Linked DNA regions of Drosophila melanogaster. Changing the gene in region 2 together with the main gene of any one other region gives a genetic interaction. Each region holds a gene or a part of one and is shown on either strand. Other genes may lie near its edges. The genes, in order: Dref, BEAF-32, sev and Dll.

Region 1 (5,391 bases), on a different chromosome or scaffold from region 2:
GTGGCACCCACGCTGGAGGCGCATTTTCAGAGATCTCCTGCTGGCAGAGCAAGTTCTTCGATCTATTGGTTTCAGTCCTATTGGCAGTAATATCGCGGCTTTCGTGCCCTTCTTTTGTGAGGAATCCAGTTCGTGGGTCGGGTGCCTACGTCTAATTGGTGTGACCAGCCAATGCGAAATCCGAAATGACTAAAATACAGACTTCCTCCCGGTTTTATATTATTTAAAATTTTTACTATTTGTTTTATTTTAAAGTTTAAAAGCTATCAGTAAAAAAATTAACTTAATTAAAAAACAAATGTCGAAGATTATTTAGATTTTGTTTGTCGCAGACGAAAAATATGAAAATTTTCCGATGATTTAAAAAAGGGAAATTTCGAGGGCTGCAGAGTAAAAAAATAAAACATATTTTGAAAATTAAAGAAATATGTCAAATATATAAAGTAGCTAACTCCAAACCGACTACTAATTGTTTCGTAGTTCAGAAATTTTTTTAATACTGAATTAATTGTAAAATATCTAATTTTAGTTAGTTCAATAAAACAATTCACGAAAGTTAGATGCATTTTATTTATTTATAAGATTAAAATATCAATTATGTACAACTAAGTTAAGTATTTAATTAGTTCTCTTGAAATGGATATAAGGGGATTTACAAGTGAGCTTGATAAGCGTGATATTTTTTCGTTATGGATTTATTAAACAAATATTCTTAGATTATCTGTTTGATTTGAATATATGATGTCAAAATGTTCCCTTAACATTTATACGTCGATAACTTAAGATGTTCCGTGTACGTCCCAAGGCTGTCTTTTGGTTAAAAGTACTGCGGAATCGCTATTACTATTTGCCTCGCCCCTGGTAGTCATTTTCATATACACAAGATCGGATTACGTTAAAAGTAATTAAAAAGTATTTGCATTATAAGAAACAGTAGTCGCCAGTGCAGACTAATTGTTGTGATGATGAAGAAAGAGGATGGCGTCGATGTGACTACCGGTGAGCATGAATCGCTTGTTGAAGTCGTATATTTGGTCTCTCAGCGCCTTCTTGAAGCTGAGCGTCACCACGCCGGGCACACTATGGTACAGGCTGGCCAAATCGCGGAGCGTTCCATAAATGTGTCCCATCTTGAGCCACCACTCGATGGGCGACTCATCCAGCTGAACGACCACCTCGTTGCGATATCGCTTAAGATCGGACTCCACGCTGCTGTCCGCATCTCGCTTCGGAGGATTTGGTATCTCGTTACTGTCAAACAGCAGTTTCAGACCTACGGGCATTTTCGTTTAGTCCATGGTTTATGATAATCGATTTAGTTCGATGCACTTACCCAACTTCTTTGGTGCACTGCCGTCCACTACTCTTGGTTCTGACTTAATGGCCACCACGCTGGAGGTAGCTGCCACTTCGTTGGATTCCCCTTCGCCCACTCCACCAAAGTTAATGTTATACTTATGGGTCAGCATACGAACGGTTCGCTCTAGGTTGTCAATGGTGGTCAGGCGGTGGAAGCGTGGGTCCAACAATGCAGCAGCGGTCAGATTGTCATTGGATATAACGTGCGCCTGGAGGACACTGGAAATGGTCCGCTTCAAATTCATCATTAGGGGATCGTCCTGCTCGGCGATGCCCAACTTCTTGATAAGAATCTTTGAAGTGATTGGCGAAAGCATGCTACACAAGGGAATGTCTTCGCCACGCAGCGTGTCCAAAGCAATCTAAAAGATTTCACACAATAAGAAAACTGCTTAAACGTCTCATTTAGCTTGATGGCTTACCACCAGAGCACTCAGGGCCTCCGTCACCGTCTTGGCTGATATAACCAGGTGATCCATGTCCTCGGACCAAGATATGGACTCGGCAAAGAACTTCAATGTTTCGTACAGTGTCCAGGGGAAGTGCTCGTTGTACGTGGGCATGGGCACCTCGGACACCTTGGAGGCAATCTCCGTTGAATGACGCTGCATTAGGTCCTTCACCTGCTCCAATAAAGTGGCCACCTCTTCGATCTCAAACACACGACGCAAACATTTGTCAATTACCGAAACGTAGCACAGCGAAATGGGTATATCTGCAATAAAAGATTCATATTCATTAGGAAGTCCAATATTTGATATATATTCTATATAAGGTAAATAATTCTGACTTGCTAATGCACTCACTTTTCTCTCGCAGATAGGTGTGCAAAAGGTCCTCTTCCTCGTCGTAGTTTATGATGGCCAGTGTGCAATTGGCCAAATAGAAGTCGGTCAGCAGATCGTCAAAGACGATGTAGTCGTTGTACTCCACGGTGGCATACAGCATACCGCGAACTGAGTGCGTCTCCTCGTCCAGAAAGTGATGGAAGATGCTAAGGAAGCGCCGCTGTTCAACATTCACCCACATCTCAAAGGCGAGAGAGAAGGGCTTCTCGGAGGTGAAATCGCGCGTGATTTCGCCAATCTCCAGAAACTTGGAGGCGTGCATCTCATTGATCAAAGAGTCGATCTTGTGTGGCTCGGGCATGGCTGCCGAATTGCCTAGGACTTGACGCAGGAATTCACCAAAACCGGCATCGTACAGAGAATCCACATTGCGCAAATCCTTAATCACAATGTCCGTAAGGGCTTCGGCCAGATTGGCGATGTTCGCCACGGCGGCATAGCCGCCTTCCTCGTGCTTGATGACACGCCCGTGCATCAGGGCACTCGATGGAGTGGCCACTTTGCGTTTGCGTCCGTACTTTGGTTCCATAACTAGGCGCTCCTCCTCCTCTACCAGATTTTCGGCCTCGTCGTAGGTGAAGGGCACCATGGTCTCGTACAGCATGGTTTGCGAGGAGGCGTCCTCCTCCGCCTGCATGGCCGCAGTTGCCACGGCTGCTTCGTCCAGTTCATCATCGGAAGCGTTATCGTGGTTCCGGTTATTAATGAACTCCAGTTTGACCCGCCGCGAGGAAACATTCCGCTTGGACAGCGGTGGATGGGATACATTACGCGGCGTCTTGCGCGGCGGCACATGGATGTCGTGCTCCTGGCACAGCTCCTTGAACAGATCCTTGTGTCGGTGCTGGAGATGCGCACGCAAATTGGTGGTGTTGCCATGGTTGGTCAGCACCTTGTGACACTTAATGCAGACCACATTCTGTTTGGTAATCACCTCATTATTGTCGTTCGAGGGGAATCCAAAGTAGCGCCAGTATACGCTTTTCATCTTGGGCGAGTACAGTTTGGAAAAATTTAGCTGCGACACATCCTCGTACTTGAGTTCGCCAATGGCCACGGGCGACGCTGGTACCCCTTCGCTCATCTTGTCTTCTGTGGGGGATTGGGATCTTCTTGTTTGTTTTGAATTAGATTCGACAACGATTGCTGTGCCCAATGCGTGTATTAGCGCGCAATTTCTCGATTATAGATAGACGGTTCAATAGTCAATAGTTTTTTATCTGTATCAGAAGTACAGTTCAGAGTTGCCACGCGACACGCCGTCAATCGATAAGGCAATAAAACGTTGCTAAATGCTTCAAATGCACTCTCATTTATTTGAGATTATTTTTACAGACTGCTCAAATATGAGAGTCACCGCTTTTTAATTTCAATACGTCTGACTGTCGTAAAAAATGCGATTTGTTGAGTATTCTCGCTAACACTGATTGCATCACCAATCGATAGCTGGGGAAATTTCTCGCTCGGCCGGGGGAATTTCTCTAGGGAAATTTTCGCTTGGCCTACGACGTGAAGTTGGTTGCGATTTCCTTTTTAATTCGTTGTTGGGAAGAAAAGGTGTGTAAATTTCGTGAGCGTCACGAAATTCAATGAAAATAAAAGATAAACGAAATGCAAATCGAGCCATCGAGTGTGCCAAGTGTGGAGGACACAAGTGGGCATCATTGACACCCGTAGGCATGAAGAAGTGCTCGGAATTACGGCTTAAACAAATCGAAATTCGCCAGCCACGTGGGCCTGCAGCTTGGTTATCCCATATATACGAGTTTACAAAGAGACATTGATGTTATTATTGTGTTTTTGCCCTCGTTGCAGCCAATCTAAACCGCCAAGATGGGTAAGGGTAACAATATGATTCCGAATCAGCACTACCACAAGTGGTGGCAGCGGCATGTGAAGACCTGGTTCAACCAGCCGGCCCGCAAGGTCCGCAGGCATGCGAACCGCGTCAAGAAGGCTAAGGCCGTCTTCCCCCGCCCAGCCAGCGGTGCCCTGCGCCCTGTGGTTCGCTGCCCCACCATCCGCTACCACACCAAGCTGCGTGCCGGCCGTGGTTTCACCCTGGAGGAGCTGAAGGTAAGTGAAGCCGAAAACATTATCGGAATCCATTGGCCACTAACAAAATCTCTGTTTACAGGGTGCCGGCATTGGCGCCAACTTCGCCAAGACCATCGGCATTGCCGTCGACAGGAGGCGCAAGAACAAATCCCTGGAGTCCCGCCAGCGTAACATCCAGCGCCTCAAGGAGTACCGCAGCAAGTTGATCCTGTTCCCCATCAACGAGAAGAAGATCCGCGCCGGCGAGTCCTCTCTGGAGGAGTGCAAGCTGGCTACCCAGCTTAAGGGACCCGTCCTGCCCATCAAAAATGAGCAGCCCGCCGTGGTCGAGTTCCGTGAGGTGACCAAGGATGAGAAGAAGTTCAAGGCCTTCGCCACGCTGCGCAAGGTAAGTTTTTTGGTTTCGTGATCCGCCGGTAGCTCGTTATACTTATTCGCCGCCAAACTATATTTGCAGGCTCGCACTGATGCCCGTTTGGTCGGAATCCGCGCCAAGCGCGCCAAGGAGGCCGCTGAGAGCGAGGACGCCGCCAAGGGAGACCCCAAGAAGGCCAAGAAGTAAACCACATCTTAACCTGATCGTTCTGTCTACAACATCAACCAGAATAAAATCTTAGTTTTTCTTAAACGTGAATATTTGTGCACATTGTTGTTATTGTCGCGTCTGGCGTAAGACTTATCGATAACCCGTGTTGCTATCGATAAGTAGCTTTGGCGCGTTGAATTCAAACTGGCGCGTTTGTTTTTAGCTGCTGCATCCAAAAAAAGAAACGTATGTTGCTTGCCATTACTTTTTTATTTTTTCTTATTTTTACCAGCTTCTTAATTTATTTGGGTTAAATTATTAAAAAGTTAAATCTGTGGTGCCATATAGAAGATTTTCTTAGGATACGCATCTTGAGCAAACGAAAAGGTTGCAGAAGCTACGTTTCTTATTTTTTTAAATATCTTTTGTTGAAATGTTAATTACAATATATTGAATTTTTCATTAGAATGGTGTAGGGTAAAGATTAAACTAAACAACTGTATTTTATCTCTGCAGTAATATATTTGCAATACCTTTTAAGGTATTTATGCCTATGTACATATGTATGTACATATGCGCGTTTCACTATATCTGAAAATA
Region 2 (4,526 bases):
CATATCCACAATTCAAAATTCATTTTGAGCGAACCACTTACCTATATCAACAACCAAATCATCAAATTAGACATACATACATTTCGCTATTCAAGTCAGTGTTTGATAAACTACCGATTTGTTGACTAGAATCTAAGCCTAGCATACTATATATATATATATATAGGCTTAAGTTTATTGTTTATTGCTCGATTTGTAGGAGTTTTACTGTAATTTGTATTCGTATTGTATGATAATGTACGCTTGCACTCCTAGATCTACAAAATATTGAAGAGAAAAACGAAATGGCTGGCTACGCAATTGGGGAGCGGCCAATACAAGCATATCTCTATAAGAAACGCATAAACAGCAGAACTTAGCCGCAAAATCGATTTGTAAATTACAATACAATAATTTATAATAACAATCTAGCAACGCTCTCTGTTTTGTAAATCTTAACAAGTTATTTAAATAAAATTTATTTAAAATAAACGTAATACACCATGAAATCGCCTTTTCCTTAATTTATTGTAGTGCTTTATTTGAGTTTTAAGTAAAATATAATTGGGAAATATACAATCAAAGTAAGTATTTTCAATCGATAAAAGAGCATAATTTAAATGAATACATAACATATGTATAATTATTAACCTAGATTACGACACGCTGATTTGCCCATTTACCATATGGTTTCCTTCGTTCCTCGTTTTATTATTCCTCTGGGTAAATGTATATAATGGACCGCCTACTCATCCTTGGCAAGCGTTGAGTCCTCACTTTCCTTGAACAGTATATCCTGGATCTTGGACCGCACGTACATCTTCCGACTGAGCGAAAGGTGGCGCATTGCGGGCACCAAGCTAAGTGCAAAATAGTAGTCGTCGTCCTTGGTGAGCTCCTCGTGATTCTGTTGTATGATGTAGCTGAGCTGTTCGCTGACAGCGGTCAGCCGTTCGATGGACGTCTCCAGGTTGTTCTTCAGCTGCTTGGCCGAGCTGCTGCTGGAGGACGTGGAGGCCACCACAGTAGCCTGTACGCCCGAACCAACACCGATGGGCCTGCTACTTCCACCGGCTGGTGAAGTCGAATGGGTTAGCACGGTCACTTGCTTCTCAGGCTGATCCAGGCCCTCATCATCCATCACGTGTATAGGACTATAGCACAGTGGATCCTCGCTGTATATGATGTCCTTAATGTCCTCGCTAATCTCATCGTTCTGCTCGTACTCCTCCCACTTTTGCGGCAGGGCGCCCGCCTCGCCCAGATAATTGGCGACGTTCGACTCGATCTTCGGCTTGGCCACACGCAGCGGCTCCCTCAGCGTCTTGGCCTTGGTAATCCGCACGGTTTTGTCTGCAATGCAAAGGATGGAAGCGATGGTTAATACGATACATATTGGTACAGCTACCGGATAATAACAAAAATATCATAACCCAGAGATGGGCGCCGGCGATAGTTTCCCGCCGACCCAAGGGTCGATAGCCCGCCATACGAACTTCGCTGGAATTACCTTTCTTGATGATTGGGATCATCCGGGCCTGGGGACGTTGCTGCACCGGACTGACCAGCACCTCGTCCCTGTGCTTGTGCCGCAGATGCGTCCACAAATTGGTCGTATTGTTGCCCTTCAAATTGCTGGCCATGCCACCACGCGATATATTGTTGCCGCAATAACGGCATATCGCAAAGTTTTCGCACTCCTCGTTAATATCGTAGTGCTGCCACACATTGCTAACACGACCCTTGGGCATTTTTAATACTTTTCTCTAGGTAATTAGTACGTCAAAAGTGATTTTTCTCCACAAATTTATTTATTGCGATATTGGCGTTGCTGTAGTCAGTGTTGTCAAGTGCCGTTGCAGTGTTGTAAAACGCATGAACATAAGAGTGGAAACAAAGGCAACGGCAAACAGAGGTGAAAAACGAAAATAAGAGAATGTTTACATACTTTACAACAGCGCAAAATCATAAAAATACTTTTAACATAACAATATTTTTTAGCTGATTTTTTAATAGCATTTTAGATAATATACAATAGGTTTATAAACTATTTACAAGCACAACCACTGGTTGGGGAAAATTCTGTACCTATCCTGCACTATTTTTATCTATAGTTTTTTTTTTCAAGACGATTTACTGCCTTGCTATAACTAGAGTTTCTACTTTTTCCGCGCCAAAGTGGAGGAGCCTGTACCGATGACCCGTGGATTTATCGCGATGGCATCGGGCACTGATCCGTGCTCGGTTTCTACGGCACGGAGCACGCGTGGCAGTGGATTTCGATTGTGAAGGGCGTGCGTGAGATTTCGGATCCCGAACTTACCGTTACTGCTGCTGGAGTGGAGACATCGGTGCCGTAGCAGGGATCCGGTTCCAGTTTTGCCGCTGTAGGATAACAGATCGCCACAGGTTTTGCAGCAGGCGTACGGCTCTATGTGGTCGTCGCACTGGACGAGATTGAAAAACCTCCAGACGCAGCTTTTGGTGTTCCTGGGCTCAACGAGTTTGCAACGCTTGTCCCCGGATTTTAGTAGGCTACGAAGCTCTGATTTCTTTTCAACATGCATCGTGGTGTATCGGTTGTTCGATTTGCGGTGGTAATTCGGTTTGCCAAGAAGAAAACAAACCCAAATTACAAAATGTACACAAATACAAACTCACGAAAATTCAGTCACGCACAAAACTGTGTTGGTAAACAAGCGCTAGCACGGTGCGAAAAGTGTAAGGTGGTGTAAACAGCCACTGATTTTCTTAAAAAGAACTTGATTGTAAGTTTAATTTTTTTTGAATTTTATTTGTTTCTTATGTTTTTTGAATATTTTCTTTTAGTTTAAAACCTAAAATTCTCATATGACTAGCGATTCCGATTACCCATAGTAAACAGTCTATCGATAAACTCAATTGAGTTGACTATTGTATATTGAATCAGTAGAATCTTTTTATTTAAATGGGTAAAGTTTCGATGGCTTTCCTACAGCCAGGACAATATCAAGGCCCAATTGAACGCCGGAGTCCGGCAATTCAACAAGAAGCGCAGTCGCGGCAAAGTCTGGAATGTCTTCTCCAGAATCGAGCTTGGTCAAATAACATGGATGCACTTCACACATGGAGCGGCACAAGTGCTACAGAACCTATGTCATATATCCAACATCAGAGGATGAAGAGGATTCCCACTGGAATCCGGACGTTTCCAGTGCGGACAAGGCTACAGATAAGATAACCGAGGCCCTGATGGATTGGTGCGTCGTGGTTAGTGCGCGGGACATCGAAACGCACTACGATTTCTTCTTGGTCTTTGTCGCCTTGGACAGCCAGGAGGATAAGATTATCAAAGAAATTCAAGGCTACCAGGCAATACAGATGCCTGCATGTGGATTAGCTGCACCGAAAGATGTTGCCCAACCAATATGAATAAAAGAATCGATTCTTAGCTCTAGCTTACCAAATTGTAGGTTTTCCTAGAATTCCTGTTAATTTAAAACTATTAATGATCCACAATGTCGATACACAAAAAAATTTGAAAAATTAAAATTTTGAATAAAGAAAACAATACGAACATTTAAAGTTTTGTCAATATTACCGTTTTCAAGAAATCCGCCATAAATTAAAACCCCAGAGTTGCAAATTCAAAAAGCTAATATTTTCGTTATATGCATTTATATACGTTGGTATTTTATGTGGAGTTTTAGAGTTGGCACAGAGAGTATATTTATCGGATTGCTCCACGGTCACACTGTCTCTTAATTTTTTCGCCGTCGCCGTCGTTTGTTTTTGGAAATGTCAATTGTTGTGAATATATCTGCTTAATTGTAAAAAAACGCCCAATCGGAAAAAGCACAAATATACGCAAAAAAATTTGCGAACAAGCAGCAAAAGTAAATGTCATTTAAAACAGTGCAAAATTAATACAAAGAAAAATGCTACATTTTGTTGCGTCTGCTCCTGCTTTGTGTGTGTGTGTGTTTTTGTGTATGTGTGCGCGTTGTTAAATAAATGAATTAAAAGACAGAGTTACACATTTTAAATGCGAAATAATGAAAAACGAGCTCATCCAGTGCTCTCTCTTTCTCGCCCTCTCATTTTTACTGTTACTAAAAAGAAGTACTCCAATTCACGCACATGCATACATACGTAAGCCCAGTGAAAAGCGAAAACAATAAGAAGAAAATATAGTTGGAAATCCGCTGCGGTTGGCAATTAAACATATCGGTTGGGAAAATCGGTGAAAAATTATAGCTGTGCTGCAGTATGTATAGGCGTATGTAAATATGAAATATGTAAAGGCAGCAACAGCAAGCAGAGCAGCATATACACACATGGAGAAATCGCCCAAAAAACTTTCTGCGCAAGCTGCGGAGAGCGCGTGCGAGAGGGAGATAGAGTGACGGAGAGTGCGAGAGCGAGCGCGATTGATTCGTTGGTGCAAATTTTATGTTAATAAAAAAGTAGTGCTCGCAGCAAATGGTAGTTCAAAAAAGCTAAATAAATAAGAAAACTAACTATATAGTTTACAATTCCGAATAGTCAGTGTTTGAAACGCGTAGAGA
Region 3 (4,871 bases), on a different chromosome or scaffold from region 2:
CAAAACTGGAAAAATAAACATTTCGCACCCGAATGTCGCTTTACCCTTTTTTTTCTTTGCTTTGCCCTGGGGAAAGTCATGTTTTATGCATGTTTTATGCATGTTTTATGCTCTTTTGACACCATCACGAAATGTGCATTATCACAATGTATGTAAATACAATATAAAACTTAGGTAATGTTAGAAATCTAGAACTCACCTCAACAATGCAGCGCTGCACACAATCCCTGGTCACGCGTTCCAGGACCATTCGCTCGTCGACGCCATGCTGTTCCTCCGAAGGATCACGATCCCGATCTCGATCATCTGGATGATGGGCCATCGTTGACTGTGGCCTGCTGCTGATGGCGATGCCCTCGACAATGCTTGGCGGAGCTGCGGCGGCGTGCTTGTGCCAGATGGCCACCTTCTCGACCACATCGCTGTCCAGCTTGGGACGCAGCAGGCGCATTTGGTCTTTGGAGACGGGTTCGGGACTCTGGTGCACCGTATAGTTGTGCGATCGGCAGACATCGCAGCAGATCGAGAGTAGAATGAGCAGGAGAAGATTGATGATCAGTATGGTGGATATGCCGCCATGGCCATCCTGGCCACTGGCCAATTGGCGGCCTAAGCGAGCCAATTGCTGACGTAGATCGAAGGAGCTGCTCTGCTGGCGGACCACAATCTTGCTGGGTGAGGCATTCTGGGAGTTCGACGAGGAGGAGGAGGTGCCAGGTGCCTGCTGATTGATGTGGGTGGTGGTCATCTTGGTATTCACATTCACCGCGATCTTCACATTGAAGCTGATGTTCAATCTCTTTGTGGGCGCCGCACCCTTCGCCTGTTTGTCCTGCTCATCCGACTGGTGGTCTACATTTTGTTGCCAAAACATAGTCATCGAGGCACTCGATCTTCACCCCGAGTTCGCGATTTGTGGCGTTCGATTCCTATTTCACTCGATAATCGTTGTTTGCTTTGGCTGAATTAACATTTTAGTGCCGCATTTGACTGAAAACGAAACTGAAACACACAACACAGTGACCACCGCAGTGTAAATCAAAAGAGAAATAGAAAGAGAGGGGTGAATTTGAACAACGCACAAATAAAAATCAGATTTCAAATAGCAGAGTCAAAAAACCAATTCAATTGGAAATTTTAAGTACACAAACTAATTTCCATTTTATGCAAATTCGAGAAGCAGCAAACGAGGCAGTTACAAAAAATTAAATGCAAGTGATATTTTACGGATACCCTTTACTCAACATTATGTCATATAATGTTAAAATATATGAATACATTTTTATATAATTTATTTAGCGAATTTGAGAAATGAGTCTCGTTAACTTTCCATTAAACAGAATGACTTATTTCTTGTACTTCAATTCATTGCAGTTGCAATTTAAAGGCATAAAAAAAGCTGCTAAAAGGCCCGAACCTAGTAATTTACAAATATTTGCAGTATATCAGCAAGCCAAGTTTTGTCTAATTAATAGATACTCCAATCACTGTATTTACAAAGTGGCAGTTCTGCCCTTGCAAAATGCTATATTACTATCATTTTTGTCAAACCGTCAATTATCATGAGTTTTCCGGATTATTACTCAATTTAGTGTAACAAGCATAAACAATTTACATGTATAGTTGATTAATAGCTGTACCAATAGCATTAAATGATATTTGCATATTTGAAAATTTGATGTATATAATATATTTGATATATTTGATATATATTTGATATATTTGGAAAATAATTAATAAAAATAAGTAGGCAAGTGAATATACCCCAAGAAAAAGCTTAACTACATTGCATTCTACTTATTTCAGATGCAGCTCAAAGGTTCAACGCACATTGCCGGCGAGATAAACAGGGTAAACACAAACACACACACACACAATCTAAGTCCGGATCGATAAGCCAAAATCCCAATGATCTCCGTAACTGGTTTGGCCAGCTTCCACCGCCCAACTCATCCAAATGTCGCCGGGATTTCGATTAGAGGACATGGATGGTCCATGCTCTCATGGTCCATGGTCCAATTAATATGGCGTCTGCATAATCAGCTAGCCAAGCGACAAGTTTCAATTAACATGGCGTAATGCATGGCCAATAAGTCACGCCCCCTTCGACCGACCACAGCAAAAACAACAACAACAACAACAACAACAACAACAATAGCGAACGGGAAGTGGCCATAACAAATTTATCCTCATTAAGATGCAAACACATTCGACGGACGGAGAATAATCGAGCGGAGTCGCACTTTCAAAAACGGAAATCCCTTTTGTCCGCAAGTTCAGCAAAACCATAGATATACATATATATATGTATATATATATATATGTATATATAATAGTTAATTGCACTTTAATTTCATATTTACCAGCAACAACAACAGCACAGCAGCACGGAAAATGTTAATTAAATCGCCCGATGAGCAGACTAGACCGAACAAATATATATATGTATAAACAAAATGAAACAGAAAAACCGAAAATAAATTGAAATTCAAATTGAATAAACCGCGCGAAATAGTGAAAACACGAAAGATCACAGCGGGATTAATTGCATTAAAGTTATTCAGAGAATATTATGCAAAAGCTGCCGGCCAGCGTTTTGCATTAATTAGTCGAAGGTATGTATGCTATAGTATATATATATACATATTTGTACAATCAGAAAGTCAAAACCGATGGAGCCTTAAACTCTCACCCACATTTCGCTCGAATCGCCGCTGTTGAAGTTGTTAAGCGCTGTTCACGCGCTTTAATTCAATTTATTGTTGATTTGAGCGGCTTAATTGCATTTTATTGTTGCAGTTGCGGCCCCAACTGAAAAGCAACTCCACACACACACACATAGGAACACTTAGTGCACGCGAAAAAAAAAGGGTATTAAAAGAGCCGAAATTCATGCAAACACACACATACGCGCACGGATGTATCTTGTATCTTTGAGAACGCAACTCACTCGACAAAATGTCACAGATATCTGGATGTGGATCTGAATCTGGATCTGGATGTGCGATTCCCGAAGCGTTACGTAGTGCGCAGTGGCGCGATCGCAGCAGAACTGATTTGCCGGCGAGCGGCGGCTTTTTAACCAAGCCCCAAGCTCCAAGTCCAAGTCCAACCCCCCAGCTGGAGAACTTGAGCACGGAACTGAAACCGAACCGAAGCGATGCGATGCGATACGATACCATACGATACCATACGATACCATACGATGCGATGAACGATGAGTGACGAAGCGCACCGCAACCGAACCGAACTGAACCGAACCGATCTTAAATGACCATTGATCTTCTTTTTCGTTGACGCAGCAACTATGACGTCATTGGCAGGGCAACCCCTAAACTGGATATCATGGGTAGATAGCCCACCGCGCTCCTCTTTCCATGGGTCAAAGCTCAACTCAATCGGTTGATCGCAGATCGCAAGCAGGCCGCCAGATATTTAAGTTCTTATAGATACATAGATAGATAGATGTATTTTCCATCTCAAGAAACCAATGCCACCTCAAGAGTATCTATCTAAAATATAATCTTAATAAAAACATGATCTTAACATTGTGCATCTAGTTGATTTGATGATTTTCGGTTTTTAATAAGCTTCCGACTTACATAGTAACATCTTTGTATCATTAAAATTAAGGTAATGGGCCGAGGCTATGTAAAATGTATATAATTATTAAATTATAGTACTTATTTTTGAGCTAGACTTATTAAGACTAAATATATTGAAAAGCTTACATCCAAAGAGGGTTAAATTTCAACTTCTTGCAATGGAAAAAAACTTTATTCGTTTACAAATGTTAACAGAAATAATTTAAAATACAACTCAATTTACTCTAAACATCGTCACATGAATAGCGCAAATCAACGCGCTTTTTCGCCAACAAATAAACGTGGCAGAAAATTTGTTTAAATCGTTTAGCTGACTCACTCTTTACATTTAGCTAAGCATTAACAGCACACCTAAATTGATTATTAAACTAATTGATCGCAAGCAGCAGTAAACGCTTGAAAATAATTGAATTCAATAGGGAACTAGCCCACACAATCAGAAAATAAAGTCATCAATTGGGGTGAATAGAAGTGTATTTCCATGAAAAGTAAACGAGATGTGGAAAGTCATAGAAATTTCATTAAAAATTTTCTATCAAACTACAAAATATCATATTTCCATAACTTTTTAACCGAGAAATATGAAGAAAACAAGTTAAGCTATTAATTTCATTGATTTACACAAACATTTAGGTATTTTTTTTTTACTCTGTAGAATCAAAAACTCGCAAGCTAAGAAATATGCAATATTTTAAAGCATTTTCCGAGCATTTGAAGCACACAAGAGTAGGCAATTTTCCGGTTACACATGACTCGTGACTCATACAACTGACACTGCGGGATGAAAAATTGAGCGGCGAGTGAAAGGCTTGCGTGACAGCTTCCGTTTCCGGTTCCGCCATCAAGTCCAAGTATCCCTTTCGCTTATGGATTTTTTGGCCAACGGAAAGGATGTGCCGCAGACATCCAAACTGCACTCGTGCGCACAATTTCTTGGCCCGAATAATCTGTGGAAATCCAATCTCCCGCCTGGGATCATCGAATTCGTACTAATCGTTTGAAATATTCTGGAATTGATTAGACGGCAAACTTATTACACACACTTGACGGAAGATGCGGCTTATCAACCCGAGCGATTCTCAATGGATTCGCCGGCGGACTAGGTGCTACATACCTATTTCACAGACTGTCACGTGAAAATCAGATTTTCGCATTTTTTTCGAAAAAAAAAGGGACAACCCCGGAAATTCACCTTCTGATTGACGTATTGTGCACATTTTGCATGCAAACTCTTTTCAATCTTGAACTGTAGTGAAATTTGCAATT
Region 4 (4,604 bases), about 10 Mb from region 2:
AATCATAATTTGCATTTAATAAATATTTCATTAAGTAATTGCAACAATTACGTGCATTTGCAGTGCTACCTTAAATTAGTGCAGCGCAGCCGACCAGGTCATAACTCGGAACGGCGGGCTCCACAGCCGATCCGATCCGATCCAATCCGGACGAGGGGATTAGCATTTCAGTCGGATCAGGCGCTCAATTACCGCTGGATGCTCGATTTATATTTACTTTTATAAACAAACTTAATTCGATTTTTGTGGCACTCTGGTTCTGGTTAATAGCGCCGCTCCGACTCATGCATATGCATATTTTCCCACTTTCAGCGGAAATCCTTCTCAGGTGACAACTGCCTGCTGTTGGGAGAGGGGAAAGGGGTGGAATGGAGACCGCTTTGCCGCCGCTTCAACTGCCAGTTAGGCTAGGCGGACAAAGGTGGAAATTCCGCTGTTCTCTCCGCTCGGTGACTTTGTCTTGTGAATGAAAAAGTCCGCTCGAGCAAACGGTCCGTGTCGCTTGGCCCTAGCCACAAAGCGACATTATGTGGCCGAAAGGACGCCATTTTGAATTGGGCCTACTCGAGCTCTCTGCCCTCTCTCGAAACGCTCAAGGGGGCGTGGCGAGGGAGTTTCTGCTCTCAGCAGGGGGCGTGCTGGGTGCGCAGGTAGTATGTGTGTGTACGAGTGCGGCTGCGAGGGTGTGTGTGTGTGTGTTTGACAGGTGAGCAGGTTGGCCCGATAGACTGGTTTGTCGCTGCCAAAGGCGGCCACTAGGTGGCGCCACAAGTACCAACTCCAAGGAGGCTTTAAGACTCCCTAGAAAGGATTTTCAAATTAAAGGTTCCATTAGAAAATGATAGCAGACCTGTCATATATACCACGCTATGTTGTTTGTGTGCGTAGCGTTTTTTCCTTACAAGCAAGCCCACCGATTGTAAAACGTAAACAAATCATTAAGTTAATTCGTCTGTTGTCCGCAACTGTTGATTACCCGTGGAAATGCGTGTGCCACAGTTTCGATTGATCCGAAAATAAGACCCGAAAGGAGCAGCGGCTAAATAAGAAGACAAATTATAGGTTCAACAATCAATTTAATAATTGAGACCTTTGCATTTAATCAACATTATTTAAAACGTCAAAATATTTGCACTTTCCACGGGCAGTTCCCCCTGGAATTTGCATATACACGCCGTAAGTTCCCCAAATCCGTGGGGACGCGGGGCGACAGGCCACGCCTCAATCTCGATGCGGGCCCTAGACCTAGACAAAGTTGACGAGTTGAGCGGCACAAAAACGGGGTCCCAGAGCCCAGCCCCACCCCCGTGCACCCGGAACGGGGAAATTTATAGTATTGGTGCGGTTTCTGCACCACCATACAGAGACACCACCGAGAAAACCGGTTGCAAACCACCCGATTGGCGACGCTCGGCGAGAGTCACTGCCAGCGGCTTGGGCCTCAGCAGCCGTCCCGCTCCGACGCACGGCGATGGATGACATCTGCGCCGCTCGCACACCACTGCTACAGAGCGGCAAAGCGGCACGGCCGCAAAGCGACAGCGCAGCGAGTCGAAGTCTCGCGCAACCGCGCCGCGAAAACCTCACCTAGTCGTATACGCACTTTGTTCGTGTGCAGTCGTCGCCGCTGTTCTCGCCGTTGAATTGCCGTCGTCGATCCGTCGTAGCGTTTTGCGCCTTGCGTTTCTGCGTCGAGCTAAGTGATCCGTCGCGGACTATAAAGTGATTTGTAGTGATCTGATCTGATCTGATTTGATATGAATTGATTTGATTGATTCGCAAAACGGAGTTGAAAATCGTGAAAATCTACAAAGAATATGCACAGCCAGAAATCGAAGTGATACAAGAAAGCAATTTCGAGTGAGTTGAGTTGCTAACAAGTTGAGTGTCAGTGCTGAGAAAAGTGCCTCCTCGCCATCTGAAAGGATTTACGCGCTCAACAGTTCCGCCAAATCAAGTCGCCGAACTGAACTGAAGCCAAGACATTGTGTCCTACAAAAACCTTAGATACGCAAGCCACACACTCCTACTGTGCAAGTATAGCTGATCATTGCCATCGGATCTCTGAGAACTTCCTTCCCGCGCGCATCCCCCTGAACAGCCGTCAAAATTCTTGATAAAGTGGCCTCAATAGGCGCCAACACGCTCAATTTCACGGACCTAGGGAGCCCCTACGAGGGGCCTCCCAGCACCCCCCAGTCGGGCATGGACGCCCCCGACGCCCCGCACACGCCCAAGTACATGGACGGCGGGAACACGGCGGCCAGCGTCACGCCCGGCATTAACATCCCGGGAAAGTCCGCCTTCGTGGAGCTGCAGCAGCACGCCGCCGCCGGGTGAGTGTCCCCAAGATCAGTGGAGTGGAGTCACCGGGAGGATTGCAGAAAGTGTTTCGGCGAAAAGACTCGATCCCCTCCAGACTTCAGCCCTGCCAAAACCAAACCTATCGGAACTCAATCTCAATCTGTGCGGAGCAGTTGACACACCCGAGAAAAAAGGAGTTTGTGGCCAGGGCGTTCCCAAAACTCGAATATGAATCTTTTTAATGAATCTAAAGAGCGCTATACGTACCATAAAACCATTTGGTCTTTAAAATCATTTCATTCATTTCAAGGGAAAAAGTTAGTTGGCATAGGACTACAAGCTGCATAATTGCATAAATAGATAATATAGTACATTGACATTACAATAAACAAATTCAATTTTTAATAATAAATAACAGTTGGTAAAAGCAAGCAGTTAAATAAAGTCAGGTTAACTCAAGAGTATATTGTCTAAGTAGTTCATATAACTTTTTAGGGTCTTAATTACTGATTACATTACAATAGCCAATAGTCTTATTTCGATCGATACATAAATTTTACTATTAAAAAACTTGTATAATTATTAGTTGTCTTAAAAAATGAAAGCAACCAATTGTAGATTTATGAATTCGTCAATGTAATCCAAAGTTAAAAATTATTTTGACTTCCATAAAAATGTACTTCTAAAGTAACAAATGTAGTATAAATTCGAAATCACAATTTTAAATTTCAATTTGCCAATTCGCCATTTAGCCTTCTCTAGGCCCTCAGCCAAATCGACTAAGACTGAATCGATGAAAGTTGCCGTCAGCTTTCCATCTTTATGATACTATTTTCGGGATCGATTTCGCGTTGGGGTCTCGCTATACTATTAGTTTTGATTAAGAAAATCACTTCAGCTGCACTTTCCGGCTTACAGTTCATGCTGGTGCCTGGCTGGCCGGCAGCGGAAGCCAAAAATAAATTCAATTAAGTGTAGTTTACTCCCGGTCCGTGTTCTAAATAAGCGTCTGATCCGGAGGGTTCTGTTCCTATCCAACAACACGTTCCTCATGGGGTAGCAATAAGTCGGGCTCGGTGGTCTGTTTACTGTTACCGCTCACTCGGCGAACTGTTTGCAGCCGCAAATTGTTTTCCCAACGCACGATTCGATTTTTCATTATACATATTTTATTGCATTCTTGGTTTTGAGCCTTGCGGTTTCCACTGCTCTGTCATTTGTGCGTGTTGGGCTCTTGGGCTGGGACGGGACTTGGAATGCTTGGCTGCGCCGACCAGCCCTCGGGAGTTGTTCCTGGCCACGACTTTTCTCCGTCCCCGGAGTGGCTGCCATGTTGTTCGCTGTTCGCTGTCCGCTGTCCGTTGTCCGTTCTCCGTTGTCCGTTGGCCGCTGTCCGTTGCGGTTTCTGCTGCTTTCGGCCCGCTTCCGTTTCCGTGTTTGAGGGGCCAGGAGAGCATTGAATATTTCATGCAGTTCGCTCGGAACATAATGCATGGGAACTTGCTCAACTGTTTCGCCCGCAAAGTGTTAACAAAATATTTACCGCGAGCGAGCGGGACTGCAAACGGAACTGCGGACCAAACCGAAACTAAAACACAGCGACTCTGACACTCGTATTGATTTTTCTTTGATATATTAAGCCGCATCCAGTTCGGGCTTTGGATAGGTTTTGGTTTTGTTTTTGGTTTCGGTTCTGGTTTTTGTAAATGAAGTCATGGCAAAAATTTCCTTCCTCTCCGCCAGCCTAATTTTTTGTTGTGAGAGAAAAAGTTTTGGTTTCGACGCTTCTTGCATTAAACATGAAACATTTTGGGCCCACTTTTAGATATTTTCCCGACCGAACGCTCGTCCTATGCTCGGCGACGTTTGAATTTAATAGTGAATAGTGAAAAGTGTAGACAAAACACGCAAGTAGGAAAAGTTTTGTCCCCGGCACGATTCATTCACATTCACAGCCGGTGTACGCCACTTCCATTACTTCCACTACTTCTTCCACAACTGCCACAGCTATATTACAGCCCCGTATTGATTATTTTCCGTGCATTTGCGGCATTCCAGGTACGGCGGCATCCGGAGCACCTATCAGCATTTCGGACCGCAGGGCGGCCAGGATTCCGGCTTCCCCAGTCCGCGCAGCGCCCTCGGCTACCCGTTCCCGCCAATGCACCAGAACTCCTACTCCGGCTACCATCTGGGCAGCTACGCCCCGCCCTGCGCCAGTCCACCGAAGGATGGTAAGTACTGCTCCTCCTTATCCGATCAGTCTCAGGCCCAATCCCAGTCCCAATCCCATACCTACT

The links.
Region 1: of BEAF-32 (region 2) and Dref, changing one suppresses a phenotype caused by changing the other (phenotypic suppression), as found in Drosophila melanogaster (one study listed by BioGRID).
Region 3: of BEAF-32 (region 2) and sev, changing one suppresses a phenotype caused by changing the other (phenotypic suppression), as found in Drosophila melanogaster (one study listed by BioGRID).
Region 4: of BEAF-32 (region 2) and Dll, changing one enhances a phenotype caused by changing the other (phenotypic enhancement), as found in Drosophila melanogaster (one study listed by BioGRID).

Annotation. Positions count from the first base shown.
Region 1 is NT_033779.5:9,963,595-9,968,985, forward strand, and holds Dref (DNA replication-related element factor), read right to left. Parts: upstream 3,636-5,391; 5' UTR 3,292-3,635; coding exon 2,166-3,291; intron 2,075-2,165; coding exon 1,782-2,074; intron 1,722-1,781; coding exon 1,334-1,721; intron 1,274-1,333; coding exon 951-1,273; 3' UTR 553-950; downstream 1-552. Other genes in the region: RpL13 (ribosomal protein L13), read left to right, coding at 4,041-4,283, 4,345-4,653, 4,723-4,827.
Region 2 is NT_033778.4:14,768,606-14,773,131, reverse strand, and holds BEAF-32 (boundary element-associated factor of 32kD), read right to left. Parts: upstream 2,664-4,526; 5' UTR 2,547-2,663; coding exon 2,303-2,546; exon of another isoform or gene 1,731-2,302; coding exon of another isoform or gene 1,490-1,730; intron 1,333-1,489; coding exon 725-1,332; 3' UTR 502-724; downstream 1-501.
Region 3 is NC_004354.4:11,083,246-11,088,116, forward strand, and holds the start of sev (sevenless), read right to left. Parts: upstream 3,055-4,871; 5' UTR 2,951-3,054; intron 1,003-2,950; 5' UTR 881-1,002; coding exon 200-880; intron 1-199. UniProt on the Drosophila melanogaster protein: Receptor for an extracellular signal required to instruct a cell to differentiate into an R7 photoreceptor. The ligand for sev is the boss (bride of sevenless) protein on the surface of the neighboring R8 cell.
Region 4 is NT_033778.4:24,813,232-24,817,835, forward strand, and holds the start of Dll (Distal-less), read left to right. Parts: upstream 1-1,590; 5' UTR 1,591-2,205; coding exon 2,206-2,336; intron 2,337-4,362; coding exon 4,363-4,538; intron 4,539-4,604. UniProt on the Drosophila melanogaster protein: Transcription factor that plays a role in larval and adult appendage development. Specifies the identity of ventral appendages (including legs and antennae) and suppresses dorsal appendage development. Involved in patterning the distal-proximal limb axis.